Linked DNA regions of Macaca mulatta. The protein of the gene in region 6 binds, or shares a complex with, the protein of the main gene of each other region. Links are inferred from orthologs where the notes say so. Each region holds a gene or a part of one and is shown on either strand. Other genes may lie near its edges. The genes, in order: ITGB6, TGFBR2, LRRC32, ITGB8, TGFBR1 and TGFB3.

What was found.
Region 1: the proteins of TGFB3 (region 6) and ITGB6 are in contact, whole or in part, in a crystal structure (PDB 4UM9), measured with the Homo sapiens proteins. The link is inferred for Macaca mulatta from reciprocal best matches to the Homo sapiens genes TGFB3 and ITGB6. Residues at the interface, in NP_001316868.1 of Homo sapiens: His259, Gly262, Asp263, Leu264, Arg266, Leu267, Lys268; in NP_000879.2 of Homo sapiens: Ser142, Ala143, Ser144, Asp147, Pro196, Cys197, Ser199, Ile200, Tyr202, Cys204, Ala234, Asn235, Ile236, Asp237, Thr238, Glu240, Asp271, Lys355.
Region 2: the proteins of TGFB3 (region 6) and TGFBR2 are in contact, whole or in part, in a crystal structure (PDB 9B9F), measured with the Homo sapiens proteins. The link is inferred for Macaca mulatta from reciprocal best matches to the Homo sapiens genes TGFB3 and TGFBR2. Residues at the interface, in NP_001316868.1 of Homo sapiens: Arg325, Lys331, Trp332, His334, Tyr390, Tyr391, Val392, Gly393, Arg394; in NP_003233.4 of Homo sapiens: Leu50, Phe53, Asp55, Ser72, Ile73, Thr74, Ser75, Ile76, Glu78, Val100, Asp141, Glu142.
Region 3: the proteins of TGFB3 (region 6) and LRRC32 are in contact, whole or in part, in a cryo-EM structure (PDB 8VSB), measured with the Homo sapiens proteins. The link is inferred for Macaca mulatta from reciprocal best matches to the Homo sapiens genes TGFB3 and LRRC32. Residues at the interface, in NP_001316868.1 of Homo sapiens: Leu24, Ser25, Thr26, Cys27, Thr28, Leu30, Pro347, Pro349, Tyr350, Leu351, Arg352, Thr357, His358, Val361, Leu364, Leu368, Ser375; in NP_001122394.1 of Homo sapiens: Ala110, Ser135, Tyr137, Ser160, Val184, Met186, Asp187, Ile188, Asp190, Phe193, Leu202, Leu204, Arg206, Asn207, Ser208, Thr210, Cys211, Ile212, Ser213, Asp214, Phe215, Ser216, Leu217, Cys227, Asn228, Ser229, Lys254.
Region 4: the proteins of TGFB3 (region 6) and ITGB8 are in contact, whole or in part, in a cryo-EM structure (PDB 8VS6), measured with the Homo sapiens proteins. The link is inferred for Macaca mulatta from reciprocal best matches to the Homo sapiens genes TGFB3 and ITGB8. Residues at the interface, in NP_001316868.1 of Homo sapiens: Gly262, Asp263, Leu264, Arg266, Leu267, Lys268; in NP_002205.1 of Homo sapiens: Ser156, Ala157, Ser158, Asn161, Arg206, Gln210, Cys211, Tyr214, Leu216, Ser247, Gly248, Asn249, Ile250, Asp251, Thr252, Glu254.
Region 5: the proteins of TGFB3 (region 6) and TGFBR1 are in contact, whole or in part, in a crystal structure (PDB 9B9F), measured with the Homo sapiens proteins. The link is inferred for Macaca mulatta from reciprocal best matches to the Homo sapiens genes TGFB3 and TGFBR1. Residues at the interface, in NP_001316868.1 of Homo sapiens: Ala301, Leu302, Asp303, Asn305, Tyr306, Tyr350, Leu351, Ser353, Thr357, Thr360, Leu364, Leu368; in NP_004603.1 of Homo sapiens: His39, Leu40, Thr42, Lys43, Phe55, Met70, Ile78, Phe84, Val85, Lys91.

The regions. Positions count from the first base shown.
Region 1 is NC_133417.1:65,075,717-65,080,586, forward strand, and holds the start of ITGB6 (integrin beta-6), read right to left. Parts: upstream 3,378-4,870; 5' UTR 3,098-3,377; intron 1-3,097. UniProt on the Homo sapiens protein: Integrin alpha-V:beta-6 (ITGAV:ITGB6) is a receptor for fibronectin and cytotactin. It recognizes the sequence R-G-D in its ligands. Internalization of integrin alpha-V/beta-6 via clathrin-mediated endocytosis promotes carcinoma cell invasion.
Region 2 is NC_133407.1:17,939,495-17,944,670, forward strand, and holds the start of TGFBR2 (TGF-beta receptor type-2 precursor), read right to left. Parts: upstream 3,014-5,176; 5' UTR 2,867-3,013; coding exon 2,773-2,866; intron 2,172-2,772; exon of another isoform or gene 2,153-2,171; intron 1-2,152. UniProt on the Homo sapiens protein: Transmembrane serine/threonine kinase forming with the TGF-beta type I serine/threonine kinase receptor, TGFBR1, the non-promiscuous receptor for the TGF-beta cytokines TGFB1, TGFB2 and TGFB3.
Region 3 is NC_133419.1:77,073,518-77,078,409, reverse strand, and holds the start of LRRC32 (transforming growth factor beta activator LRRC32), read left to right. Parts: upstream 1-1,748; 5' UTR 1,749-1,882; exon of another isoform or gene 1,883-2,892; intron 2,893-3,193; exon of another isoform or gene 3,194-3,439; intron 3,440-4,892.
Region 4 is NC_133408.1:107,913,301-107,917,729, forward strand, and holds part of ITGB8 (integrin beta-8 precursor), read right to left. Parts: intron 4,029-4,429; coding exon 3,782-4,028; intron 2,414-3,781; coding exon 2,248-2,413; intron 1,324-2,247; coding exon 1,165-1,323; intron 1-1,164. UniProt on the Homo sapiens protein: Integrin alpha-V:beta-8 (ITGAV:ITGB8) is a receptor for fibronectin. It recognizes the sequence R-G-D in its ligands.
Region 5 is NC_133420.1:59,299,996-59,305,114, forward strand, and holds the start of TGFBR1 (TGF-beta receptor type-1), read right to left. Parts: upstream 3,224-5,119; 5' UTR 3,115-3,223; coding exon 3,018-3,114; intron 1-3,017. UniProt on the Homo sapiens protein: Transmembrane serine/threonine kinase forming with the TGF-beta type II serine/threonine kinase receptor, TGFBR2, the non-promiscuous receptor for the TGF-beta cytokines TGFB1, TGFB2 and TGFB3.
Region 6 is NC_133412.1:149,175,062-149,179,490, forward strand, and holds part of TGFB3 (transforming growth factor beta-3 proprotein precursor), read right to left. Parts: intron 3,477-4,429; coding exon 3,313-3,476; intron 3,015-3,312; coding exon 2,885-3,014; intron 1-2,884. UniProt on the Homo sapiens protein: Transforming growth factor beta-3 proprotein: Precursor of the Latency-associated peptide (LAP) and Transforming growth factor beta-3 (TGF-beta-3) chains, which constitute the regulatory and active subunit of TGF-beta-3, respectively.

The DNA.
Region 1 (4,870 bases), on a different chromosome or scaffold from region 6:
GCACCATAGATGAAGGAACTAACCATACGTATGTACATAAGTTGTGTGAGGAGTCAGGGAAAATGCCATCAGAAAGTGATGCTCAACTGAATTCTTGAAGAAAGGGAGAAGATTCCACTAGGCATATCTGAAGACATGAAAAAGCACTATGGGTTTGGGGAACAATAAATACTTAGTTTGGCCAAAGCATAGGGTATTTTGATGTGAGGAGGGAAAGATAGTATGGAGGGAATAATGAGAGATGAGGCTGGAAAAGTGGGCAGGAGTTTCTGGATCTCAAATAATCTTGAATAGCAGTCTAGGTGCTGTAGGTGTTTGTGTTCTCCAAAGTTCTTGTGTTGGAAAGTTGATCACCATTGTAACAGTACTAAGAGGTGGGACCTTTTAGAAGGGATCAGGCCATGAGGGCTCTACCCTCATGAATGGATTAACACCATTATCATGGGAGGGGTTCGTTATAAAAGGATAAGTTGAGCTCCCTTTTTCCTCTCTCTCACCCTGTCTTGCTCTTCTACCTTCCATCATGGGATGATGCAGCAAGAAGGCCCTCACAAGATGCTGGCCCCTGATCTTGCATTTCCCAGCCTCCAGAACTGTAAGCTGACAAGTTTCTGTTCATTACAAATAACTCAGTCTGTGGTATTCTGTTATAGAAGCACAAAACAGACTAAGATGGTAGGGGATTCAAAATTTATCTTATATATGATAGGGAACCAGTGAAAAATTTTAAACAGAAGAGAAATGCATTCTGATTTGTTGTTTTGAAAGATAACCAACGGTAGTATGTTGGTGAATTGGAGGGAGGGAGAGTGCTTGGAAAGTTAGTGTAGCAGTCTAGGCAAATGTGGATGAACTATAATGCCAGTGGACATGAAAGAGGAAAGGATGAACGGCAGATCCAAGTGAAGGAGGAGGATAAACAAGCCTGAGGTTTCCTGCTCAGGCACTTGGTAGACGTAACCTGATGTAGCAGAGCTGTATGTATGGGTGAACTTTGTGTTATTAAACAAAATAATCATTTTAATATTACAATTTGACATATCTATCAACCTCCTATGGGGCTCCCCAAAGAGGTGGGATATTGCAAAGGAGAGAAACAGTTAGGGCATAGAGTAGATAATGGTTCAGAATGGCTAAGTACAAAGCTGAATGCCAGTAGCGTGAAGGACAGTCAAGGGCCTTCTTTCGGGAACTCCAACCTAAAATAGCAATCTGGGCTGGCCTGCCTGGATTGACAGGCCCATGCACTGTGACCAGGTTGGGGTGCCATGCCTGTGAGTAGGCTGGATGGATCCCCAGATGACCTTGGCCTGTAGTTAGCTCTTATAACTACATCTTGGGTGTGGCTGATTTCCAAAGTAGCAGCAATGGCAGCTGACAGCTTTGGGAGTGTTTATTCTCTGTAAAGAAAAAGTGCCCATAAGAAATACACCTCCCAAGTGGTTGTTCCTCCTGGTTTGACTAAGAGATTCTGTGGCTGAGAATATGCCTATGGTTTTTGTAAAACCATTAAAGAATTGATCGCTTTTTTCTTGAGTCAAAATGCCTTGAATCTCTTAGGTAATTTAGAAGATCAGTGTAAGTTCTACTCCTGGGAAATATGTCAAAGAAATGACTGCTTGCATGCTTTAGTTCATTAGAGTATCTTTTCCCCTTCTGCATATCACAATAAAAGTAAATTCCAATACAAGAATTCAAAGGCAGAGAAGGAACCTAACCCTAACAATCAGATTAGAAATAAATGCCCCCTTTGAGGATCTGAAGTTGGAATACAATATTCCACTAAGTGGAATACAATATTCCATTCTCTGATTAAAAATTCTTGCTGTCACCTACAACTCACAAGGCCAAAACATCTGGTGCTAAGTTTGCTTTAGTGTATGGTAACTGGGGAAAACATTGAGAGATTGCAGTAATAGGATTTTGTGTGTTTGTAAATTGAGCTTTAGCTATTGTACTTCATCCAGGGAACACTAGAGGGAGCAAGTCAGATAGAGGAAAAAGATTACAATGGGAATGAATGGGGAATGAAGAAAGGAGAACTCTAAAGAGGAAGGCGTTTTTGCATATCACTGAGGCACAAAATTTTCCTTAGGCAGACACCAATACTTGTATTATGACCAAATGACTTTATATTCAAAACCCTGTATTAAAAAACTTTCTTTCTGAGCCTGTTCAGAATCTAAAAAAATAGGAGAAGAAAACTATTACTCTCTGATCAGATTCTGTCCATTTTAGGTATTTTACGAGCCAATACAATATAGCTCTACCTGTGATTTTTTTTAATTTTAGAGGGTACATTATTTGGATGAATAATGTACAAAATCCACAGATATTGGATTTTGTTCTTTACAGTGCTAGTGGTCATACTTCCGAAAGTTCTCATGGTGAATAGTAATGATACCAGGTATTTTCAGACACTTGTAAGAATAAAATATGCTCTTCATAGATAACCTGAATTGGAAGCCCTTTTCTCTCCATTTTCTCCATAATTCTCATGTATTAGTTCTACACTAAAACACCATTTTACAATCCAGAGGTACTGAAGTTAACTGGTCCGATGTCATGCATATGTCAATGCAAATATGAACTGATATTTATTTTCCTGTTTTAAATTTCCAGTTCCTCATTTCCTTTGTGCCTCTTGAAGATGCCAAAAAGTTAGTGAAGACGAGTCTCATCACTGATTTTTTTTTAAAAAAACTTTAACAATTAATTAGTACAATCAGAAACAAATATCTTAAAATCTTAACGAGAGACTGTTCAACTGGTTATTAAAATATTTTACTGAATAATGAACTAAGGCTTTTATGAAATACTGTTCTTAAACCATAGCAGATTTTTAAAATGCAGCTGTTAAAAACATGTGTGAGTCCAAATGTAAGAAAAATCACAGTAAAGCATGCTAAGTTAATAAGGATCCGCTCTTTTACAAACGTTGGGGTAGGCTCACCTGGACGTTCATGTCAGGAGAGCAGAAATGACATTACAAACTCCCTAAGGCAGCGTCTGTTGGAAGCGATCGGTGACACTGACAAGAAACACTCAGTTCTGAAATTTGGGTTTGCATTTGTTAGCCATGCATTATCCTACTTACCTCTCAGGGTAGAACCTTTAATTTCAGAAAGTGCTGGCATGCATTACTGCACCCGTTATCAAAAGTCTTTGGCAGAAACGCCATTTATCCTTGTTGTGGTAATGAACAGATTTAAAACATTCTGGTGTCACCATCCCTGAAAAAGCACATTCATTTGAATATTTCTTCCACCGGCATAATGAAATATTTCATGAAGGCACATGGGTGTAGAATACTATGGAGAGATATTGCTGGTGAATGACAGAACGTCTGGTTGATTTACATGAAACCCCAAGTGCTCATATGAGAATAGGTTAGGTTTAGATTGACGAGCAAATGTGTAACCAGACTTCTGGCTGACAAATGGCAGAACTATGCCAGTACATTAGCTTCTCTGGAGAGAGACCAAAAGTGAAACGGGAGGATCAAGTTCACTCCATAAAGGACATTCAAACCTAGTGGATGGCAGTGTGGCTGGGATATTAAGCACTTATAGATATTAATACCCCAAAATAGTACTGAGTTTACAGTTGAGCTGGCCAACTGCAGGCCAGTGGTCAAACTCTTATAAAGCATTGCCGTATGCTACATGTGTGTATTGACATTCCTTCAGGAGGATCCTGGTGTTTTCGAGATAAGTCTATTTTATTGGCAGCTTTGGTCACTAACTCTAAAAATGGATTGTTTGGGTAAACTAGAAACTGAAAATAACAACTGATGAGATTAGCGTAAAACATGGTGCCAAGCATTTAATGGTCCAGATTGAATTAGATTTATTTTGGCGCAGCACAGCCGTGAACAGAAACATCCACACAGGCTTTGTCGAGAAGGATGAAGAATTTGGACCCATACTCTCTTTTCCAGGCTAAGACTGAAAGTTCAGGACTTTGGGTATGCCTCCAAGGAAGTAATGTGATAGTAATAATAGATACTCCTCAAGTTCCCATGGTGTGCCAGGCCCCCTGCTTGGCACTTAGTGTACATTATTTTATTTGATTCTCACCACCACACTGCGGATAGGAGTCACGATGTTTGCTTTATAAATGACCCGGAGGTTGACTTATCCAAGGCCATACAAGTAAGTGACCAAGTCGGGATTTAAACTCCAGTCTGACTTGAAAGCTCTTTCCATCATGTTACAATTCTTCCCAAATGTCTGATAAACAGTACTGGTTCAGGTTTGCAGCTTGCAAGCCCTTTGGTATTTGTGGAGCATTGAGGCAAGAAAAACAGAGAGAGCCAAGAGTCCTGGGTTTGAATCCTGGCTCTACCATTTACTCACTGTGTGATCTTGGAAAAATATCTAACCTTTCTGGGCTGTATCCTCATCTATAAAAATGTGTGTATGTGTTGTGTGGTGGGTAATAGAAGATTTATAAGCTACCTTTCATTTATAACTTTTGATGATTTTGTGAGCTTTCACGGGGCTTTTAATTTCCTGTAATTGAGGTGCATGTTTGGTCTTTTGCTCTTTAAATAACTCAGCTGTGAGGAGACACTTCCATTTGAAATTCAAGAACTGACTTAATTTCTGCCATAGAGACATTATTTCTCCCCTCTGTAAAATTCATTTCTCTAAGTGGGTTGTCTCAATACAAACTACCTTTTATTTTCTTGGTGTACTGACTGTGGTGCTCTGCTCATAAGTGCACCATAACGAGGGTTGTAGGACATGCTAGGAATACAAAATGGTATATCATAATATTACCACAAAGGAATATCACTAAAGTTGGCTTTCATATGAAGGCAATAAATATTACTTCTTGTGGGTTAGAAGACCAAATATGCATGGAG
Region 2 (5,176 bases), on a different chromosome or scaffold from region 6:
ATAAGCAGGTTATTAAAGAGATCTGAAGAACCTGTATCCCTACGACACTGTTACAAATTCTTTGTCCTCAATAAGAATCTACTTTTAGGAATCTGAAAAGTCATATTTTTCAGACCTGAAGAGCTATTGTACACTTTACAGTTTTCCCCCAAAGAGTCATTTCTTAATTTTGATCATTTAGGAAGAGTGAATGTACTAAGTCAAAAACAAGGGAAAAAAAACTTTCTATTTCTTAGTGAAATTTGTTCTTATATTTAAATCCTTTACATACTACTAAACAGAAATACAGAAGCTACTAAACAGAAGACAGATTTTGGGGCTTTTCTATGTGACGTAAAAGGAGCTTGTTGTTTATTAAACAATCTCATTCCCTCATATATTATCTTGCATCAAGATATTTTGAAAAAATGTTTTCAGTTTACCAGTTATGTTAGAAAAATTCTGAAACCATTTACTTACATGAAAAATTAAAATGTAAGTAGAATTAGGTTTCTCATCTTCAATATATCTATCTTCAACCTTTGGCCAACTTTGAAAATTTAATTTGAATCAAATGAATACAAATTCAAAATATTCATTAATTCAACCATTTTGAAACTTCAATTCTATAAAAATAGGAAATCTGTGGGCCTTGTTAAACTGTCTAAATACTCAAAAAGCCACCACGCTTTTATGCTAATTGTTTAAAAGTGTGTATATTGATGAAATGAAAGTGACTCATGAACTATTGGGTCTGGAATTTGCAAATCATAAATCTTATCCTTGTAAACAGAACCTAACAACATCAGGGCCTGCTAATTTCCTTCTTCTATAATCTGGAACAAAAGTTTTAATGATTTTTAACATCCACAGAAAATTAAGGGTGCCATTTTAAATATTTATTAGCAAAATACAACTTAGGTTTAAGAGTCTGGAGGAAAATGAGAGACAACTGAACATTCTGGTACTGCAATGCAGGAAAAACGCCAAGAACGAAACACTAAGATTTTATTAAAACCATAGGACTCAAAAGTGTGTTAAGACTTTTTGCTTGCAATAGTGCATCTTCCTAATTAGATTAAAAGCTTCCATCTCCATGCCACCTTCAATGTATGCCATAATTTTTAAAAAGTTCCCAATCCACTTCAAATACTCTGAAATTTACAACTGACCATGATGCGCGTTTTTTCTAGACAAACCAAAAGGTAAATCTGCCCATGTCCCTGGATAAATAAAAAGAGTGCGTCAGGGTGATGTGGACTGCCAACTCCTCTACATTTCATCCAGAGCCTACATGGGTCATCTCCAAGTTACCAGAAGAGCTAGGGGAAAGGAGGGGAGGGCCACGGCACGTAAGATGTTAAACACGAAGATGATGTAAAATTACCCAGATTCAACCTTGCCATTTTACAGATGAGGAAACTAAGGCCCAGAAAAAGCTCTGTGACTTGCCCAAATACTCGGTTACCCAGACCACAGCTGCAGATACTGTTATTTGGATCACAGCTGCAAAAAGTCTAACTTTTGGCCGGGCGCGGTGGCTCATGCCTATAATCCCAGCACTTTGGGAGGCCAAGGTGGGCGGATTACGAGGTCAAGAGATCGAGACCATCCTGACCGATATGGTGAAACCCTGTATCTACTAAAAACACAAAAATTAGCTGGGCGTGGTGGCGGGTGCTTGTAATCCCAACTGCTCGGGAGGCTGAGGCAGGAGAATCACTTGAACCCATGAGGCAAAGGTTGCAGTGAGCCGAGATTGCGCCACTGCACTCCAGCCTGGTGACAGAATGAGACTCCGTCTCAAAAAAAAAAAAAAAAAAAAAAAAAAAAAAAAAAAAAAAAATCTAACTTTTGAAGTCTCAGGTGTTTACACTTTCCATAACAAATCATTAAGAACCCCCATTCCTGCATGCATATATATATATATATATATACACACACACACACACACAGACACACACATACATATAAACATATATTTTTTTTCCTTAAAAACCTTCAGACACAGCGATCAGGTGGGTAGCCTAGGTAGAATTTTAACCCTTCGGTTTCCAACAAACGATAATTGCATAGAACTATCAACTCCCTGAAGACAGGACTGTCTTGTTCCAGGCAAAATCTACAGCCCCTAGCACCCAGTGGGCATTCAGTGAGGAATTCTCGGTTTCACCTGAGCATCTCCACTCCCTTCCCATCCATGCCAAGGCGTCAGTGGAGCCAGCTAACTTTCTTTTGGAAATCGCTTATTTTCTTGAAACTTGTATCCAAAACCTCCGGGCCAAGAAGCCGGCCTGAGGGAAAGCGTGGCCGTGTCCAGGAGCTAAGGACTGAGGAGCTGGCCTTTTGAACGGGTGGCTCAGAAAGAGCTGGGTGGGCACGCGGCATTGCCACGGGCTGAGTGGCCCAGGTGTGCTGGCTGCTTTGGCAGCTCAGGCTGCCGCCCCGGGCCGCTGCTCCCCGGCCGCCTTCAGATAACCAACTTCTCAAACTTCCCTTTCCGGGGGTGGGGGCTCGCCTCGAACGCGGCCAACACAACGCCTTTCCTGCTCGCACAAAGGGGACCAAACGTGCCCCGCGCCCCTTGCAAGTGAACTTTCCATCTTTTTTTCAAGAAAAACTCACACATCCCTGCAGCTACGGGAGTCGGGCTGCTAGAGTGCCGCGGAGGAAACTTTCCTCGTTTCCGCCCGGGCGCCGGGTTGCCGGGCCCGACTGTCAAGCGCAGCGGAGAGGCGGGGACCCCAGGAAGACCCCCGGCGCCCCGCCGAGCCCAGGCTGGGGACCACTCACCCGACTTCTGAACGTGCGGTGGGATCGTGCTGGCGATACGCGTCCACAGGACGATGTGCAGCGGCCACAGGCCCCTGAGCAGCCCCCGACCCATGGCAGACCCCGCTGCTCGTCATAGACCGAGCCCCGAGCGCAGCGGACGGCGCCTTCCCGGACCCCTGGCTGCGCCTCCGCGCCGCGCCCTCTCCGGACCCCGCGCCGGGCCGGTCGCGCAGATGTGCGGGCCAGATGTGGCGCCCGCTCGCCAGCCAGAAGGGGGCCTGGAGGCCGGCGAGGCGCGGGGAGGCCCCCGGCGGCCGAGGGAAGCTGCACAGGAGGCCGGCTCCTGTCCCGAGCGGGTGCACGCGCGGGGGTGTCGTCGCTCCGTGCGCGCGAGTGACTCACTCAACTTCAACTCAGCGCTGCGGGGGAAACAGGAAACTCCTCGCCAACAGCTGGGCAGGACCTCTCTCCGCCCGAGAGCCTTCTCCCTCTCCTCGACGTCCAGCCCCTAGCTCTCTCGTAGCTGCCAATCATGTTTCCTAGACCAGCCCCTCCGAGCGCTTTGGCCGACTTTCAGCTGCCCCTCACCGCCCTCCCACACCACTCAGGAGTTCCTCGCTTCACGTATTTACTCAAGAGTGACTAAGTGCACGCAGTTCACAAAGTAACAACAGAAAACGTCCACGTTTTCTCTGGTAGATCAGAACATCTGCCGCCTCCCCTCAGCTTTCTTCAGATTGCTCCTAGGTGCTTTAGAGATGCGTTTTCAAATTACACGTTGAGATCCAGGAGTGAATACTCAAATCTATTGAGTCGTGAGCACATTTCTGTCCCAAATAAAATAGTAACGGTAAATTTTACTTCATTAAACTTGTGCTTCGGTTGTGTCTTTATGCATGTATGTGTGTGCATACACTGTCAAGTGGTAAAATGTTTTTTCTTTAGGTCGAAGTCTAGAAGTTTTTCTCAAGTTTTAATGTACTTATTGATCACCTGGGAATCTTGTTAAAAAATGCAGATTCTAATTCAGTAGGTCTAGGAGGCAGGCGGAGATTCTGCATTTTTATGAGCACCTGGATAGAGCCTCCCATTTCGCACCGCCTCTTCCGGGGACTGAGTCAGTGAGTAATTGTAAATGATCACCTATCACGAAGTGATAATGGTGGAAAATGTAATTTTCAGAATGTATAGAGTATAGCAGAAACTGTAAAATTAAAAGTGGCTTGGGAGTCACCTGAATGCTTGCGCTTTTATTCCCTTAATGCAGGTGAAGAGAATGCTTAGCCTTTCATGTGAAAAAGGGGTAACATGGGAGCAGAACAGTATAAACTTTCAAATTTCCTTTCTTGCTAGGGCAACCAGATTTGCCCAAGACACTCCTGGTGTACATGTTTTGTAGTTTAAATATTAATAGAACCCCTTTTCTCTTTCAGATATGTCCTGATTGGATAATAAACTATGTGATCAACCTACTTCTCTCTCTCAAAGATAGGATTCTGTACAGCCCTCTGGTCAGTAGATCTTCCAGCAATTCGTTTAATGAATTCCTTTACCTGAGAGAAAGATTGCAGAGGCAAGGGTTTGGGCCAGGGCCTCCAGGGAATAAAGGTAAATAGCACTCCCCCAAACCCAGCTCCCAAAATCCCTCCTGTCATTCTAAGAGTTCATTTGCTTCATCCTGGAATTTTACCTCTTGCTCCACCTAGCACCCGAGCTGCCTCTAGATGTTCTGCCACTTCCCAGCGCTCATGTTTAAGATGGAGAAAATGCAGTGAAATCAGGAGGGCTAGGCATCTTCTTTCCCATCAATTAATTGCCTTGCCAAAGCTGGAGTGACTTTATCAATGGAGGAAGATTGAGTTCCAAATCTTCTTCTCCCTGTTCCCTCTCCTGCCACCAGCCCATGCCACTGCCGTGGCTTGAGTAGGAGTCTCCCACCGGTCACCCTCAGCCACGGCCATTCCGGGCTGTTTCACTCAGTTTCTCAAATGAGAGCTGAATTCAGTTTTTCAAAATACAAAACTAGTTATACCAACTCTCTGACTAAAATCATTTAATGGCTTCCCACTGCTCTTGAGATAAAGAGAAGATAAAAACCAGATCCTTGAACGTGGATCTGGTTCAAGCCCCCACCTCTGCTGTAAACGTCCACGTGGCTTCTCCTTGCTTGCTGAAAGCCTTCTCCAAATTTCGTGAATGTGCCTCTGTAATCCCCCTATTCTTTATGCACAGAGCCTTCCTTCCCCAGTATGGACTTCCTTCCTCTGACCTTTTCTTCTTCACCCAGCCAACTCCTGGTCTTCGTGGATTGAATGATAACTTCTTTGATGGGCAAGCTTTCACTGACCTCCATGAGTAGATCTTTTATTATAGGTTCTCTTGGCACCATATGCCTTTCTTTTAACAGCTGTAACTTTATAAT
Region 3 (4,892 bases), on a different chromosome or scaffold from region 6:
GAAAAGGAAGCCCGCAGGATAGAGGAGTATCCACCAACTGCCACAATAAAGGCAGTGAGAAGTTGCCTAACAACCACTGGGTGCAGGCTCCAGCTGGATCCATTGCACTTAGTTCTAGCACCAACTCCAAGTAGTAGCTACTATCTTTCCCACTTTACAGATGGGGCCCTGAGGTTCCATTTGACCAAATGGAGCATTAGAGACCAGGGAGGGGGCTGGATGGACCAGCTAGGACCCTATGGACATAGATCTGAGGCCTTGGGTGGCTGAGAGGGAAGAGAAAGAGGTTTGGATACCTTTCCCAGGCCCTGCTGAGAGATTCCTTACCTGCACCTCCTGCCCATCCCCTCAGTGCAGCTCAGGCCTCCTCCTTAGGGAAGCTTTCCCTGATTTCCTCCTCTAAGGCTAGGTCAGGCCCCTGGGGCACCTGCTGTCACAGCTTGTCCTCTCTGGGTTGACCCCATCTGCTCAGATCCATCTCCACAGTAGACTGAACAGGCAGAAGAAAAGACAGTAACTGTAGGGACTTCAGGAAATCCCACTTCTGAGCCCAGCCTTACCCTGATTTGCCAGAAGGCCCTGGGTGGTCACTTTCATGCCTGTAAAATGGGGCACCCTACCCCACTCTAGGGCTGGTGACCATCAGGGAAGAGAAACACTGTGGAAGACCATCAGGGAAGAGAAACACTTCCACCCCCAGAACCAGGACCTGGAGGACAGCCAGGGCCCCTCTCCTCTAGGGACCCGCATCCTGGAGCCCACAGGCAGCAGAGCAGGGTACCTGTGATTTGGTGGGGACAAGGCATCTAGAAGAGGGGTGGCTTTGGGGAAGATCTGCTTCAACCTCCGATCTAAACGACAATACCGCCACCCTATATTTGCACAATACTTTAAAAAATCGGCCAAGATAATGCCCAAACTGAAGCAGACTTGGCTTTATGGACAGAGTGGGCTCAAATCCCTGATTCTTACAAGCTGTGTGACTTTAGACATGCCACTTAACCTTTCTGAGCCTCAGTTTCCCCAACTATAAATAGGGACCTTACTAGTCTCAGACAATTGGTTTTCATGTGTACACACTGCCCCCGCCCTAGCCTCAGTTTCTCCGTCCGAAAGCTGAGGACTTTGATGGTGCTATTTCACAGGCTGTTGAAGGGCCCCGCAGATGATGGAGGAGTACGGGTCTAGACGCTAAAGCACAGTTCGGAGAGGAAAAGTGACCTGCCAGGACCCACCAGAGCGGGCGGCTTGGTGCGGGGAACCCCCTCCGCGGCCGCCCCAGGGCCAGAGAAGGGTCATTTCCTTCCGCATTCAGCCCCGCCGTCACCTCGCCTGTTTGCCCCCGCGTTAAGTGCGGCGGCGCCAGCAGCTGGGAAATCGGGGCCAGGCCGGATTTCCTCTGTGGACCTGCGGCTCTTAGAGCCACCGCGCCCCCCTCCGGACCCCGCGGGGCCGCGAACTGCACGTGCGGCGGCCACCGGGACGGGCCTAGCTCCCACGGCGCTTCCTCTGCGACCCCTCTCCCTCCCGCCCTCTCATCTCACCCCTCTGGGTCCCCGCCCCTTCCCGGCCGAGGTCCCAGGGTGATGAAGATGCTTCGCCGCTCCGCCCCAGTCCGCCTCCGCCAGCTCCGGATAAACCGAGGCACGGGGCCAGGCGCTAGGACCCCGCGGCCTCGCCGGAGGGGGGCGTGGCGTGGCGGGCCGGCGGGAGAGGTATTTAAATTGCAGCCGGAGCGCGGGGGCTCCGGTGGGGCAGCTGAGTGGCCTGCGCCTCCTCGGGCCGTGACCCCGGGGTCTGGCGCGGGGTGGGACCCGGGGGCGGGTTTGCGCAAAATGTGCCGAGACTGCCCGGGAGAGGAACTGCGGCCGCGCTGAGCCAGGTAGGAGCCGCCAGGCGGGCGAGGTGGCCGGCCCTCGGGGGGCGCACTGTTGCGCGCCCCTCGCGAGCGCAGGGAGGGGTCTGGTCCCGCGAGACGCCCCCCAAACCCTCCCCTCCCGCCGTCCCCACTGCGCGCGTGGGGCTGGGGCTGACCCTCCCTCGGTTCCTGGGAGGCCCCCAAGGCTCCTGTCTCCGCGGAGCTTTCCCGCAAAGGAGTGAGACCGAGGTTCCCATTTGACAGCTGGGAAAACAAAGGCCTGAAGACCGGACTTGCCCAGGAACACACAGCTAGGCAAGGGCAGACCGGAATTTGAATTCACGTTTCCTGCAACGTTCCGATCCCGGCCAGGCGTGGGGCTGCCCATCCCACAGCACTAGATGGCCTGCCCATTTCTCGTAGTGGGGTGGGAGGCACCTACCGCTCTGCAAGGGGCTCTGAAGCCAGCCTTCTTCATGGCTGGTAAGATGTGAGGGACCCCCACCCCCACCCCGAGCTGCCTGAAATTCCGCCATCACAGCCACATTCCTTTGGGTTAAGGTCTAATTCCCCCGTGGGATGCACATGTCTCCAGAACGAGGCTTGCCCTTAGTGATTCACTGCTTGACAGGAACGTCCGCAGCAGCTCTCCCAGGACCCCACTCTGCCAGTAAGTCAGCTGAGGCCGAGAGGAGGGAGAGAGGACCTCAGAGCCCAGACTGTGAGCTAGTCTGCCCTGCTCCTGCATGTGAGGGGTCGTTGGCAGGGCTTAGGGAAGGAGACCTTGGTCCGGTATAGTGGAAACATTTGCTTTGGAGGTAGATGAACTGGATTCTGATCCTGACCCTGCTATTTGCTCCTTGTGTGACTTTAGGTAAGTCACCTCTCTGAGCCTCCTTTTCTTCATGGGCAAAAGAAGACAGTTCTATGGGGGGAGTCGGCTCAGCTTGTGCTGGAGAAAACACAGTATTCAGGTCATGTAGAACTGGATAAATCCGAGCTCCAAAGCCCTTGTGAGCTGGGTAACTCTGGGGGTAAGTCACTTCACTTTTCGGAACCTGTTTTCTCAACTGTAAAATGGGAATTACAGTAATTGCCTCAATAGGTGATTGTGAGAATTAAATGAGGTGATATAGGTCAAGTGCTTAAAAGACTGTCTAACATCCTTAAATGTAGGGTGGGCTTATTGTGATAGTAGTCATTGCCCCCCGTACCCCTGCTCTCTTACCCCTGCTCTCTTCTCTCTCTGTCTGTCTCTCTCTCACACACACGCACACACACACACACACACACACACACACATTCTTTAGCACTTTTCTGCCTCCTCTTGCCCAGGCCACTTGTCTGCAGGCTTGGGGCCTCCCCACTGAGCACACCTCACCTGGGATGCTCAGCCCTGCGAGGGTCACTGTGCCAGCTGGAAGGACAGTGAGGACGCAGGGCACCTTTGCTGCTATTCTTTGCCGGATCATCACAATAGTTGGGGTTGGCCAGTGGCAGAACTGGAACCCAGCTGCCTGCCCTGCAACAGGACACTGGGGCACCAAGAAATGAAGGAACTTACCCTAGGGAGCAGAGCTGGTGAGTGGTGGGCTTTGGATGCATGCCTGGGTCTAAGTGACACCGTCCTCCTTTTTGAGAGAGAGTAGTCTTGGGCACCACTGAGGAGGGCCCACAGCTGAGGGGCCCTTCCTGTCAGATGCCAGGACAGAGTGCCCATGTGCTCCAGGGACGGTCCCTTCTGGATGTGCACAGGGCCACCTTGGGGATAGAGTGGGGTTTGGCAGAGGAAGGGGAAATAAGGGCCTAGGACCCTTCCTTGTCCTCACCTGGCACTCTCCACTCAGTCTGCTGCAGCTGAGCTTCTGCCCTGACTTTGCCACTTGTTCACTAGTCTTTAGTGAGCACCTACTTAGTAGGCCCCTGTTCCCACATGATAAGAAATAAATGATGAGGAAATGATACATGTGGGAAAACAATGACATGTGTGAGGAGCTGAGGAAGAGCATTCAGGGAGAGGAAACCGCAGGAGCAAAGGCCCTGAGGCAGGAATGAATTTGCTGTGTTGAAGGAACAGCAAGAAAGCTGGAATTTAGTGAGGGAAGGGAAAATGGACAAGAGTCAGAGAGGAGACTGTGGATGGCCTGGATTTTCTTGGAGATTTTCAAACAGTAGAGGTTTAGGGTCTGACAGATGATTTTATCTCTCTGGCTGCTAGGTATAGGACAGATTATAAGGGGTCAGTGTGTTGTGGTTAAGGCCGGTATTGGGGTGGCATCTCAGTCTGTGGCAGTGACAAGAGGGAAGTAGGAAGATCTGGGGTCTCTTTTTCAGGGAGAGCAGTCAGAGCCCTCTGATGGCACAAATAGGGGAAGGGAATGTGGCAGGGAGGTGAAGGGAGAGCCAAAGAGAACTGCTGTCACTAACGACCCCATGTCACCAATACTCCTGGTGTCAGTTCTCTGTGCCGCTGCTGACCTGCTGTGTGCTGTGAGATGCATCTCAGGACGGTGAGCCCCTCTCTAGGGGCACTTCCCATGGGAGGGGGGTGGGACACAGTACCCACGGAGGGCTTGGTGCTGTGCTCACTGGAAGCTCGGGGGCTCTGGGAGGACTGGAGGACATAGCCCAGACTTGGGGAACCAAAGAAGACCTCTTGGCCCATCTAAGCTGGGACCCCAAGGATGAGGAGGTCTTTAGTAGAAGAGGAGAGGGGAGGAAGTGAAGGTTTGGGGCAGGGAAAATCTGCTCAGGGAACTGATAGAAATATGAGATGTCCAGAATCCAGAGTGTGAGAGGGGACACTGGGGAAGGAGGCTGGAGGGAAGAGCTGGCCAGGCAGGGCATGCTCCCCAACAGCCTGGAAGGCCCTGCAAAGGGGTTTTCACTCAGTTCTGAATATGCTAACTTTTTAACGGGCGGTGGCGTTCTGCTTTTTAAACAGTAGAACAAAGTTTCCTGTGAAAGCGCAACCTGTAATGCAGGTGAGAGCAGAGCAGCTGCGGGGGCAGCGCCTGTGGCCCTGAGGGGAGCC
Region 4 (4,429 bases), on a different chromosome or scaffold from region 6:
GTGCACTGCAGCACACTCCCAAGGGTGGCAGGAAATAATTTAAATCTTCAAGAGAAATACAGTGACATTCAGCATGTATCAGGTACCAATGAAGAACTAGTTGGAGGGAGTTCATAGTTTTAAGTTTACATTCGGTCTTATTCTTTTAAATGACATTAATCTTTGCCGAGCTGGTCAACTTGAAAATCAACATGGAAGAAGAAATCAGGGTAGTGATGACCAATCTTATTTCAGGATTTGAAAATTTCTCTTCGTAAGTTGCTTACTAAAACTGAAACATGTCTCTCTACATTTGATACATTTGTATTATTTTTAAGGAGCTACTAAGTTGTTAAGACAAAAATAGTTGAGTTATTTGGACTTAACCACTTGAAAAACAGAACTATTAGGTATTTCTTTTGACCCATGAGTGTCATGGAATAAAATCACTGAGAGACTAAGGTCTCCTGAACTGAGAAAGTTGGAGAGGTTCTGTTTTAACATATGCAAGAATATATAAATAAGTGTCAACATCAGAAGTAAATGATGCTTTGGGCTGTTGATTCTTCACAACTAGAATTAGATAATGCCAGGGAAGATATGGTTCTAGGTGATTATATTAAATATATGATTCCGAGCTTATACTAACCCTCAGGAAGCAAGCCAGATAGTCACTGATTTAAAGAGACCTTAAATAGATAAGATGCAGAGAGAAGTAAGGTACAAAATAGAGAAAGCCTACTTTGTTTTACTCTCTTTCTCTCTTGTCTTTTTTCCTTGGTTTCTATTTAGTTTCTACCTACTGTACTGTGAGGTTTCCTCCTTAAAATGTTTGTAGATATTGACCCTGTACAACTGGTCTGTTTGTAAAAAGCAAAGGTATACTTTTTTCCCCTGTCCTAGAATTACATAAAAAGTAAAATCTTGTATCATTTTTATTTTCAAAAATTATACTGTGCTTTGTCATTCATCAAAGAGTCAGCTACTAGAAACTGTCAAAGTGTTTGATTCATACATTTTATTGATCAGTATTTATAGATTGCACTGTTCCATAAATTCTCTCTCATGGCTTATCCTTGTTTCTTTTTTAGGTAATTTCCTGGTACAAAAATAGTGGAGTTGCCAATTTAAAATTGTACTTTAACCAAAAGAGTCATATCTACTAAGGGGCTACTGCTACATTACCATGGTTGTCGATTTGACGTAGACGTTGTTTTTCAGATGGCAGTTTCCGTCATTGGGCACCACTATGCCTGCCAATTTGCTATCAAGAGCAAGATGAGATGTCTGATCTGTCATCACCAGCAGCAATCTTTTAGCCTCTTTTCGCCATCCAATATGACTCTTAAAAATAAACATGTAATTAGATTTTGTACAATAACATAGATCTGTACTGTGGTTTTTACCTCAAGTAAACATCATGTTTGAGTCGATGAACATTAAGTCAGGCTAGAACGATGTGCATGGGTACAACGCTGCTGCATAAATAGCTTTAACTTTCATTTGTACATCCTCTATTTTCCCACAGCCATGTGACCACACTAGTTCCTGGCTAGAGATGTCTAGTGTTCCAGTGGAGGAAGAATAAGATAGATTAAAAAGTAGGAGAGGCCGGGCGCGGTGGCTCACGCCTGTAATCCCAGCACTTTGGGAGGCCGAGGCGGGCGGATCACGAGGTCAGGAAATCGAGACCACCCTGGCTAAATAAAATTATTTAGTAGAAACCCCGTCTCTACTAAAAATACAAAAAAAAAAAAAAAAAAAAAAAATTAGCTGGGCATGGTGGCAGGTGCTTCTCAGGAGGCTGAGGCAGGAGAATGGTGTGAACCCGGGAGGCGGAGCTTGCAGTGAACCGAGATCCAAGATCGCGCCACTGCACTCCAGCCTGGGAGACAGAGCGAGACTCCGTCTCAAAAAAAAAAAAAAAAAAAAGGAGGAGAACAAGCTGAAGCGAGGAGGGCAACAGTCTACTTCTAGTTCCTCCTTGGAGTGTGGCGCATGAGAAAAGCAGCCCTTTTGGAAAGAATTTTCACGTGCATAACCTTTTCTTTCCCTTTTATCTTTTCCTATTTAAATCCCTCCCCCAATTTAGTCCCTCTGTACAAAACACATACCAAAATGAATCACCTTGGTGAGGAGTAAGAGATAGTAAGATATGTTTTCTTCTACACTACGTTTTCACTCCTCAAATCAAAGAGAAAACAAAAATTCTAAATTCTTTGAAAGTTTTGCATCTTAGCAAACACTCAATAATGTGAAACGTCTTACTTCACAGACAGCTGCCTGAAGCATGGCGTCAAAACCTCCTTCCGGTGTATCTATGTTTCCAGAGATCTTCTGTCTGTGAACTGCTTTCTCAAACTCAGTGATGTTCTCTGTCAAAGACAGCACATGGATGTATCCATGGGGAGGCATGCAGTCTAAATTGTAGTCACTATATGGGAAAAGAGGAAGTGTAAAGTTTATTTTGCTCTTCTTTCTTAAGCATTCTAGAATACTTAACAGTAAAATTGTACAGTTGAGTGAAAAGGGAGTACTTCTTTTGTGCCAGGGGAATTTTATAAGACAAAAATCTGTGCTTATAAAATTAGAGAGAAGTTCAATATTGATGATCATTTCTTTGCAAGTAGGAAATAAGACTATAAGTAGCTGGTATTCAAAAAAATAAAGATGATTAAACATGTTTGTTAATATAGGACAGCTAAGGGCTTTCAATATTTAATCTGCACTGAATTTTTAAGGTGAATAAAAGAATGTGCAGTGATTTCTTATCATTGAACAGCTGAGAAACACTTTTGGAAAATGCTTTTGAGGAATTTAGTTGAAATGTGATAATACTGCTTGTTTTTTAATACTGCACTAATTTTTAAAATCATGCTTGGTGGAATTATTGATGAACAATCAAAATTCATTAAAATTATTTTGAGAATCCATGATATCCAGAAAGTAAGAATGATTCCTCTGGTACATTCACCTCAAGAAGGCTTATGAAACTCCATTAGTGGATGCATCAATCCTGTTCTGGTACAACAGATGACAGAGCTGTTTCGGTAAATTGGAATGTGTATTTTAAGGTAATCTAAGGAATTGGTAGAAGCAAGAAAGATAAAGTCTTTTATGAAAAAAGATCCAAACGGATTTATTTTTCTGAAAATTCAACGGGCTAATGGCAATATTGTGTGAGACACTTACATTTTTAAAGTTAATTCTTCTTTCATAGTGGGACATCTGTTATTTAGAATAAGAATTCTAAAATGATAAGAAAAAAGGCTTTCTAAGCAGTCAAATTCTCATCTTTTGACCCACTTTTTTGTGATAGCTGAGCTTTCTTTGTAGTCACATCATAGGCAACATCATTATCCCCAGTCACAGTACAGTATTGGAGAGATAGATGACGTGCTGGCACAAACTCTTTGAAATGTGTCAAATCATAATTCAGCAATTTTGGAGCAATCAAAGCATAAAAATACAGCATTTCCAAAGAGGTATTTATATACATGGCGGCCTAACTATTGAAGCTTCATTCAAAGCTACTAACATTAGGCATTGTTTTTTGTTTGTTTGTTTATTTTTGGTGATAAAAACTAACTAAATATTTAAAGAAATAGAAAATAAAAAGCCCAATCTACAGGTCATCTCAGAAGTTTTCAGATATGAACAAACTTTCCCACCTCACCAAATATTTTTATTCTTATTTTATAAGACAAAAATATAAAACTTGGTAAGTTCTTTACATTAAAAACAAAGTGAGATTTTATAAGCAAAAAATTAATTTAGCATATGCTCATCAAACCCTAGATACCTGCATTGATTATGAATCCTTTCAGGGTGGATGCTAATGTATGGTGAAACTGTTTTATCAACATATGAACCAAATCCAAGGCGAAAGTCACGAGAGAAAAATGCCATTTTTCTAGATAAATCGTTGCCAACAGAATTTAATTTTTCTATATTATTGTGCATTGATGCTGAGACATCAACCAGATAATAAAGATCCACAGGATATTTCTTCAGAGGATGAATTTTCAGCATAAAATTAGCTTCAGCTCCTAGTTCGACAGAAGAAAAACATCATGTAGTCTTCATTTTAAACTTTTCAGGATAAGCTATCAATAAATTAGTCACATTCTAGCACCTAGCACAATCATCACAAATGTGCACATGAATTTTGGAATATTCTAGTATAATTATAATCATTATAGTATAATTATTATTGTAGTATAATTATAAGGCAATTTGAAAACCATACCAATTTATTAGTCCCAAATCCTACAGTTCATTTCCCACAATTCTATAGGCTGAATAGGGATAATAACAAATAGGCTAGCTCCGTATAAATGTAACAGGGTATCGTATCATTATATGAACCTCCATTGCCTTAGTAGCTAGAAAAACACAGTGCAAACCAGTAAGCGGCATTCTATCTCAAGAGAGTGAGGGGGCTGTACTT
Region 5 (5,119 bases), on a different chromosome or scaffold from region 6:
TGAATTAGGCAAAAGCAGGTATTGGCCCTATTTTCTGCATAACTGCTGGTGAAGGTGGGACTAATAACCAATTGCTTTCAACACACCATACAACTTTTCCTGATTATTTATACGGAATTATAAGTTAATATTGCATAAACCGGACTTACATAAAACAGTATAAATACTAAAGGAATGCTCAAATAGAAATCAACAAGCATTTATGTGGAATAGAATATAAAACACAGTGCTAAGTTCTGAGGCCATAAAATAAAGAAATGGCATGAATCTTGTCCTCTGGGTACCTATAACACAGTCAAGTATTGTTAAGTAGCAGCACAGGCAGTAGAAATGGACAACACAAACTGTTAAGTGTTGCAGAGTTCTGGAAGACAAAGAATTCAAGAACTAAACCAGCACAGGAAGTCAGGGCTGAGAACTTCTCACACTCCCATAACAGGGGCAAAACTAAACGTGTAGTGAAAAGGCTGAACAGTCAGGAGTCAGTGAGAAAGAGAAATTGTTTGAAGGTCTGCAGTCATGGGAAATGAGATCCCTGGTAAGATACTCAGAGATGGCCCCAATCATAAGCTGCTCAAGTGTGGTTCTAAGTGCTGAATACAAATGGGAAATCTTATAAACCTTCATGGGGATGGCTGAGGAAGATTAGTTTGGCAGTAGCCCATAGAAAAGCCTAGATGAGAGAAACATGGGAAAGCAACTAGATTTGGAGGATAACAGGCAGGATTAAGCTGAAGGCTGCATACCAAGAAAGGAGGAGACATTCAAGAGGCATTCATAGAAAGAAGAGTTGGATTGGGGGCATGTTTTCAAACAAAAAAAGTTATGAAATGGCAGAAAGGAAGCAAACAGCATTCTCAGATGGGATATAAATATAGACATAGTGGTACTAAACTGTGTACTAGGGACAAGGAATCCATTTCCCTAGAGAAATCTATGTTGGAGAGAGAAGTTGGGCAGACAACAATAAAACATACTCAGAACATAAAAAAGTGCAAGTCTTTAAAAGAGAAGCCAAATTACTGAGGGGGAAAAAAAAGCATTTGACCTTTTTCAGAATGTCTTTTAAGGGTGGACTGAGGCATCATCATAACCAACAAGGAAGGCAGACAAGCTGAGGCAGTCTGGGCTTACAGTAATAAGCACCTGGACAGCTTTGTATTGTGTGCACGCCAAGGAGACTGTAAACTTCTCCAGGACATGGACTGAGCAATGTTCTGTATATTCAACTAAGTCCACTACTGTTACTTGAATACATGAACACTTCTTATGCTACTTCTGGTGGAAAAGAATGCACTGTGCTATTCAAGTTAATAGTGGTGTGGAAATGTTACCTGTGTTTCATGCCTAACTATACTGATTCTCCCAAATGTCCACACAGTTATCTTGCCTTCCTCCCTAGGCCAATATCAAAAATCCATTGTTTCCTCTAATGCAGGAGGCCCACGTGAAGGGACTCAGGAATGTGCTAAGAGTCGGAATGAAGCCTATCTGATATTCAAATCATGAGGACAGAATCTAAAGTGAATAATAAAGACCAATTGCTCAGCAGACGACTGAAGAAGAAAAATGGGCTACGCCAGATAGTATGATGTATATATATTAATATATAAGATATACAGGTTTTGAAAACTGAGATCTGAGTGAAAATCCTAGCTTTAGCACTTAGTTATTGGGTACTTAATGTGTCTGCACCCCACTTTTCACATCTGTAAAGTGGGGCAAATGCCACTACTCCTGAAAGTTTAGTTGTGGTGATTAAATAACGTACTTATACAATTGTGTACTTTATGCATTTACATCGCAGTAATGCATAATACATAGACGGTAGCTATTACGACTAATTATAATCGTCAGTCTTGATTTTTTTAAAAAAAAATTCAACATCTTGTGTCCAGTTTCAGAAACAGAAATGTACTTTCACTGCATTTTAGTCGCTAACACTGAGGCTCTCTGTATTTTAGCTTCTAGTGCCTCAGTTCAGCTGCTAACAAAGTTTTTCACTCATCCCTTCGAGGATGCCAACCACCTACCCCAACCTGATTTAATATTTTGAAAAATTCAGCGAACATTCTTCCTTGAAAACCAGCTACACAGATGTCTGATTCAAACTATTAACTGTCACTCAAGAACAGGAATATCGCGAGTGATGGTCTTTCGAGGAAATAAAAAGCGTTTAATCAATTCACAGTCATTCCCAAAATTTCCAAACCCCGCAGAACGAGCAAACGTTCAAGTTTCCACTACGAAAACAATCCGTAGCCTTCTGGTTACTGGACTCACTTCAACACTCCCCAGACGCACGAAAGAAGAAACATTCCGCGCATCTCCGCGCTTCCTTCTTCTCACACAAAGCCCCCCTGGCTGGAAGAGCAGCCCCTTCCAGCAGGGTCGGGTCGGGTCGGGTCGAGCCGGGCGGGAGTTACGGCGGCCTGTGGACCCGGGGGGTCTCACCACACTTCGCCCCCGACTCCCACTGGCCGAAGCCCTAGCGGCTCGGAGCTCACACCCCGCCCAGCAGCCGCCTTCCACCCCAACCTCAAACCCCGCCCCGGGCCCGGCAGCCTTGGGCACGGACCCTCTTGGGGCGGGGGTCCCCGGAACAAGGTCACGCCGTGCCGAGGGGGCGGCGGCGGGCAGCCACCGCTCTGCCAGTCCCCGCCGGCCTCACACTCTCCGCCCCTGACCCTCGCCCACTCACACCCCAGAGGGCAGCCCCGGACCTCGGACGACTCCGCCCGACTCCACCTCCCCGGGGAGTCCCGAGCGGGGCGGCCTCGGGCAGCAGGACACGTCCGCCCGCGCCCGGACACACGCCCCTGCCCCGCCTCCGCTCCCCGCTTGCGGTTCGCACGGCGGCCGCCGAGCCCCGCGAGGCCACGAGAGCCCGGCCGGGCCCCGGCGCAGCCACCTGCGCCCCCGGCCCCGCGCCATGTTTGAGAAAGAGCAGGAGCGAGCCAGAGGCCGGGCCCGGCCCGCGCGCCCCGCAGTCGCCCGCCCGCCGTGCCGCCGCTCACCCGTCGCCCCCGGGAGCAGCGCCGCCGCCGCCGCCGCCGTCGCCGCCAGCACGAGGAGGAGCAGCCGGGGACGCGGAGCAGCGGCCGCCGCCTCCATGGTCCCGCCGCCACCGCTTGTGGCCCGGCCCGGCCCGGCCGCCGCCTCACCCCAGCAAGCCTCGCCTCGCCCCACCTCCCCCGCCGCCGCGGCGGCCTCGCTCCGGCCCTTTGTAACTGCTCGGGGGACGCGCGTCCATTGGCTGCCGGGCTCCCGCCGGCCCCGCCTCCCCGCCGCCGCGAGCGGCCGAGCGGGACCCAGCCGGGAGCCCCGCCTGCGGGACCGCCGGGCAGCCAATCCACAGCCGCGGGTGCCGGTTTCTGGCCACGCCCCATGCTCCCCGGGGGCCGGGCCGCCAGACCGCGGCCCCGGCCGGATCCGCTGTTGGCTCCCGGCTTCCAGCTCCCAGAGGCCGCGTGGGGGCGGGATCTGCCAGCCAGAGCACCGCTGAGCCGCTAGTCCCGGAGGGCCGGGTAGAGCGATGGGTGTGTCTGTGTGAGTCTCTTTCGGAAAAAGGCTGTGGCCGCTCGAGGCTCTTTTCTTCTAACCTCCTCTAGGCGCGGAAGATCTGGTACTGCCTCAGCCCCACCCTGACCCCATTCACAGCCCCGCACCGGCAATCCCAGCACATGCCACTCCGATCCGCTGCAGCGCCAGGCCCCAGCATCCACTTCAACTTCCCCTCTCCAAGTCCACGCATCAACTTCAGCTTTCCCCCGAAGATCCCTCTTCAGTGCCCTTCACATGCGACTCACTCTCCTATTTCCTCCTGCGCCCAGCGGTCACCCCAAACCTAGCTCCCCCACCCAATTCCAAACCTAGAAAGTCCTCAGATCCCAGCCTCAGACCCAGATCCTGAGCCGAAACACACCTCCAAATAGCCTCCCGCCTCCCTCCAGCACAGACCCAGGATGGGGATCCAAACCGCTCTCCTCTCATCCCCATTCCCGATCCAGGTTGGAAAGGGAGGGTCCCCACCCCAAACCCTCAAAGGAGAGGTTCCCCCTTCTTAGCACCCAGCCCCCGTGGGGCGGAGGGGGAGCAGTCATCATTACTTTGAGCTGTGTCTGACACTCCTGTATAATAATCCTGAGGTGTCACTAAAAACCCAAATAAACTCTACGTTTTCATTCTGAATTCCTAATTTACTGCGAGACGCTCCACCCACCTTCCCTCTGCGACGCCAAAATGAGCTCCAGATTTGTAATTCTTCCTGTCAGACTAGTCCTTTCTTCAGACACAAACACAGCCAAGTAGGCTGTTACGTAGAACAGAGAATATTTTTCCGCAGAACCTTTTAAGGAGGAAGTTTTATTTTCTGTGTTATTTGAGCTTGGAATTAAATAAACCTTGATAGCAGGAATCAGAACCAGCCTCTAATGCCAATTTGTGCACTACTTTAGAATCACTGGGTGAGCATTTTCCGCACCTGTGAAGGCTTCCTTCCGGGAGATGAAAAGGGAAAGGGCGTGGATTTTGGAGCTAGGATCTGAGACCCGCGCACTTTCTCCCTCCTGTCTAGGACACTTACTTAAGCAAGTCAGCTAACCTTTCTCAACCTCCAACAGACTCAGAGGCCTGCAACTTGCTCTAGACCGCAGCTCCAGCAGCCTCAGCAACAAACATCCCTCTTGCTCAGGCTGAGGGATTCCAGAGAGACGGCTTCTGGCAGGCTCCAGTCCCAATTTGCCCTCTCAGTTCCAGTTTCTTCAATGGAGATTTGGTGGGCTTTGTGCCACCTGAGGTCCCTAGACTGCCTTTTTGCTGCCCTATTTGCAATGTCTTGCGTAAGATAAAAGCTAATGAGATTTTTATTGTATGAATGAATAAATGATCTCAGAAAGTGACTGTTTTTCTCTGGCCATTAGCTTCCTCATCTCTAAAACGTAAATAATAATAGTACTTACCCCGTTTATAAATAAAAGGGATTGAATCACTTGTCTTGGGCCCCTTAAATGACGTAATGTGTCTGGTACAGTGTCTGGAACATAGTAAATATTTAGCTAATGCCATTTTTTTGCCCATCCCCTTCCAGCTCTGTATGATTCTAATCAGCATGTATGTT
Region 6 (4,429 bases):
CAACTGCTCCAATTTGGAGTCCTTTGTTGCCTGGTTTGAAGCCATGAACTCCGACGAGACTCATGGGCTCTCTATAAGCACAAACCTGTGTGATGATTCCCCTGTAGGAAAGGTAGGCAGTATCTGCCTAAGTGGGAACTGAAGGTTCCAATGAAGAACTAACCTCAGAATTGGCAGCCGTGGGGATGGTGGGTGGGGGACCCATAGGTTTTATTACGAAATTATCTTTTTGATGTCTCAGGAGGATGGAAATCATTCTCAATGCAAACTTCTCATTGAGCTCTGCAGCTGTGAAAATAAGAACTCCTTCAAGTGCCCAGGGCTTCAAAGAAATCCAGGTGGAGCTGATCAAAATCAGACAGGGAAGTTAAGAGATTAATTTCCCCAGCCCCTCCTTTCTGTAGCCGTCTGAGTCAGAATTCCCAACAGAGCTGCTGTCGGCAGATCCACGTGGGTTGTCCTAGGCTCTTGCCTTCATGCTCAGTAGGAGGGACAGGATGGAATTCCTGGGTACCCTTGGGACTGGGGCAGGATCTCCAGCCCACCATCTGCCAACTCAGCCATCGGATAATTCCCCTTGGATGGGGAATTTTCTCATTTATGTGACCTGCCTGGGCTCCATGGGTACCAAGCAATGCAAACTCGATGCCTATGGAGTCCAGGCAGGTCACGTGAGAAAACCGAGCCAGCATGTGATGCTAAACAGGAACTGCCAGCCTCACTCTTGGGGAACAATAGGGAATAGTGAGGGCTGTGGGTACTGAGGATGCATACCCCATCTAAGGGGTGGCTGGTACTCGTCTGTGATGGATGGTTACCAGGAAATCTTCCAACTTTTCAAAAACAGCAAGAAGTCCAGGTTTTATGTGAAATCTCCTGACTTAAAACACCCAAAACTGTTGATGACTAGTCAAATTGAAAACAATATGCAGGCCAAATAGTTTGTAATCTCTGCCTTTGAGTTTTAACTCTTAGTTGGCTAAAATACCAAGGACCTAGAAGGATCCACCTGCCTCAGGGAGTCTGGGCATCAATATATGGATGGTCTGTGGCTTTATAGCAGCTGATGACAGGAGAAAACCCTGCCCAAGAGGGAGAGAAGGAACAGATGGGACTGCCATCTGTGACCCCAACCCACTGAGCATCAGACCAGGCAGTACCAGTCAAGGAAAGGGAAAGAAACATAGAGGATGGTGTCATGAGACACCAAAGTTCTCATCCAGACTGGACGACCTCGGTCAAGTCACTTAACTTCTCTCGGCCTGTTTCCTTATCTAAAATAAGAAAAGCTTACTCCTGTAAAACATGGTAAAAACCATGAAGTTCTCTCAAATGCATTTGATCCTTAAAACAACTCTATAAGGCATGCAGAGGAGGAACCATTGCCTTATTTTCCAGGTGAAGAAAGACAGTGCGTGGATAAGATATTTGGGACATGTGAAGTGTGTTACGCCTCTGGGATAGCTCTGCTTGCATGACCACCCGGCCTTTCAAACTTAACTGGCCGGAACAGAACACGTTCTTCTCCTAGGCCCCCCATTTCAATAAGTGATACCACCTGGATGTCGAAAAATTTAGGAGTCATCCAGAATGCTCTTGTGTCCTCACACCCTACACCTAATCAGCCTGCGCTACTTACTGGCTACCTTCAAAATACAGAATAAATCCATACAATCTTCATATCCACTGCTACCACCCTAGTCTCAGCCTATATTGCTCTCATCTGGGCTGCCACCATGGCTCCTAACTGGTTTTCCTGCCTCTTCCTTTGACCTCCTGGAAACTAGAGGGATCTTTTAAAGATGTCAATCGAATCACCACACCCAGTCCCTCCTCCTGGTAGCTGTGTGAGTCAGAATTCCCAGCAGAGCTGCTGTCAGCAGATCCACATGGCTCTCCTAGGCTCTTGACTTCACGCCCAGTAGAGGGACAGGAAGGAATACCTGGGTACCTTGAGTATCCCCATCTCTGGTTATAGCACTCCCACACTTCTCATCACCCACAGAATAAGTCCTGAAACCTCACCATGACCTGATGATGTTCTAAATTAAATTGGCTGGGCATGGTGGCTCACGTCTATAATCCCAGCACTTTGGGAAGCCAAAGCGGGTGGATCACTTGAGGTCAGGAGTTTGAGACCAGCCTGGCCAACATGGTGAAACCCCATCTTTACTAAAAATACAAAAAAAATTAGCTAGGTGTGGCAGCGTGTGCCTGTAGTCCCAGCTATTCAGGAGGCTGAGACATGAGAATCGCTTGAACCCAGATGGCGGAGGTGCAGTGAGCCGAGACTGCACCACTGCACTCCAGCTTAGGCAACAGAGTGAGACTCAGTCTCAAGAAATAATAATAATAATAATAATAATAATAATAATAAATTATATGGCCCCAGCAACCTCTCTGACCACCTCCCCTCCTCCTCCCTACCCCAGCTCAGCATGCTCCAGCCACACCAATCTGTTTGCTGCTGCTGCTCGAACAAATCAAGCTTATTTCCACTTGAGGGCCTGGGCCTCACTGTTGCCTTTGCTTAGCACATCCCTTATTCTGATCTTCATGGGCTGACGCCTTATCATTCAGATGTCAATGCATGAATTTCTTCATCACAGAGACCTTCCCTGGTGGACCCCACCCAATCATTATCACATTGCCCTCTTTCCATTTCTCATAGTTCCTATCCCTGTGGCTGCATCCCCAGGGCCTGGCTTACAGGGAGCACTTAATAAACATTAGTTGAGTGAATGAATGGAGAATACTCAGTGGCAAAGCTAGGGTTTGAACCCAGATCTCTGAGTCCCTTAATTCTGTCCTCTTCCCTCTGTTTCATGGAGGACTAAGGGACCTGAGGTTCATTCTGAAATGTTCATCCGAAGGGTCCACCTACCTCTTCTCAACAGCCACTCACGCACTGTGTCAGTGACATCAAAGGACAGCCACTCGGCAGTGCCCCGTGTGGGCAGATTCTTGCCACCGATATAGCGCTGTTTGGCAATGTGCTCATCCGGCCGAAGGATCTATAGGGCAGAGAAAGGAGTGAGTACTAGAGGCCATGACAGAGTGCCCCAGAAGATGTCACAGTGCAGAGCACAGGTGAGGGAGCAATAAGAAACCAGTGGTTCCTGAATGCCATGGCCCCCGAGCGCCTTAGCTAACTCTTAAGGTTTTAATGACAGACACTGATACAGAAACAAAGGCTCAGAGAAGCCAGGATTCAAACCCAGGTCTGCCAAACTCTGCACCCAGTGGTGCCCTGATATGGCAAAGGAACTGGCTTTCTCGTAGGTGTGGTTTCTGCTCCGAGAGAGGAGTTACCTGGAAGAGCTCGATCCTCTGCTCATTCCGCTTAGAGCTGGGGTTGGGCACTCGCAAGACCCGGAATTCTGCTCGGAACAGGTTGGTTCTATTTTTCTCCACTGAGGACACATTGAAGCGGAAAACCTTGGAGGTAATTCCTTTGGGGCAGACAGCCAGTTCGTCTAGGAGATAAAGCAGAGCAGAGGGCACAGCATGAGTGAGACATGCAGGAACAGTGTGCTGCCAACGGACAGGCACCAAGTGGCCACCGTCCTGCCTGCCACCTCCCTAGAGGCTTGAGGTCTCAGACCTCAAGGTGGAGATACGAGGAAGATTCTTGGTGGCCCTAGAATCACACACAGTCCTGAGCAAGGAGCAGTGTGGCCTCAGAGCTCCACGACATGGCACTAGAGACTGGCCAGTCAAATCTAATTGCCCCCTCCTCCCACTGCCTTAAAATCTCAGTTCTGGTAAGTTCTCCAACCTGTTTTTCCTACTTTTTGAGAAAATACTGATTCTACACTTTTGTTTGTTTTGTTTTGTTTTTTCTTCCTTTTTGTGGAGAACAGGGTCTTGCTATACTGCCCAGGCAGGTCTCGAACTCCTGGGCTCAAGCTATCCTTCTGCCTCTACCTCCCTGAGAGCTGGGATTACAGGCGTAAGCCACCGTGCCCGGCCTAAGAAAATACTGATTCTAGAAAGATATCAGCAACCTAGTAGTTTACATATCTTACAACTAGTTGATCTATTCCTGTGTTTGTTCATCTGGGCATCCATTCATTTATAAAAAATGTATTGAGCAGCTACTATATGCCAAGCATAGTGCTAACACTGGGAAGCAAAACGTGAACAGACACAACCCCTGCCTTCAAGGGGATTAAAATCCATTTATGCCTAGTGTTCCATTATTGGAATGCTAAGCATGTGGGAGTTATTTATATCCTACTGCTCAAGGTCATCGCCAAGGTCTGATTTCAAAATTCAAAAAATTGCAGCCTCAGGCTTATGGATTAATATCCAAGTGGGGGGTATTAATACATGGGCCCAAATAACAGGACTAGAGAGAAATAATAGGACAGAGTGCCCTGGAAGATGTCAAAATGCAGGAGCACAGGTGAGGGGAGTGACAGGAAAC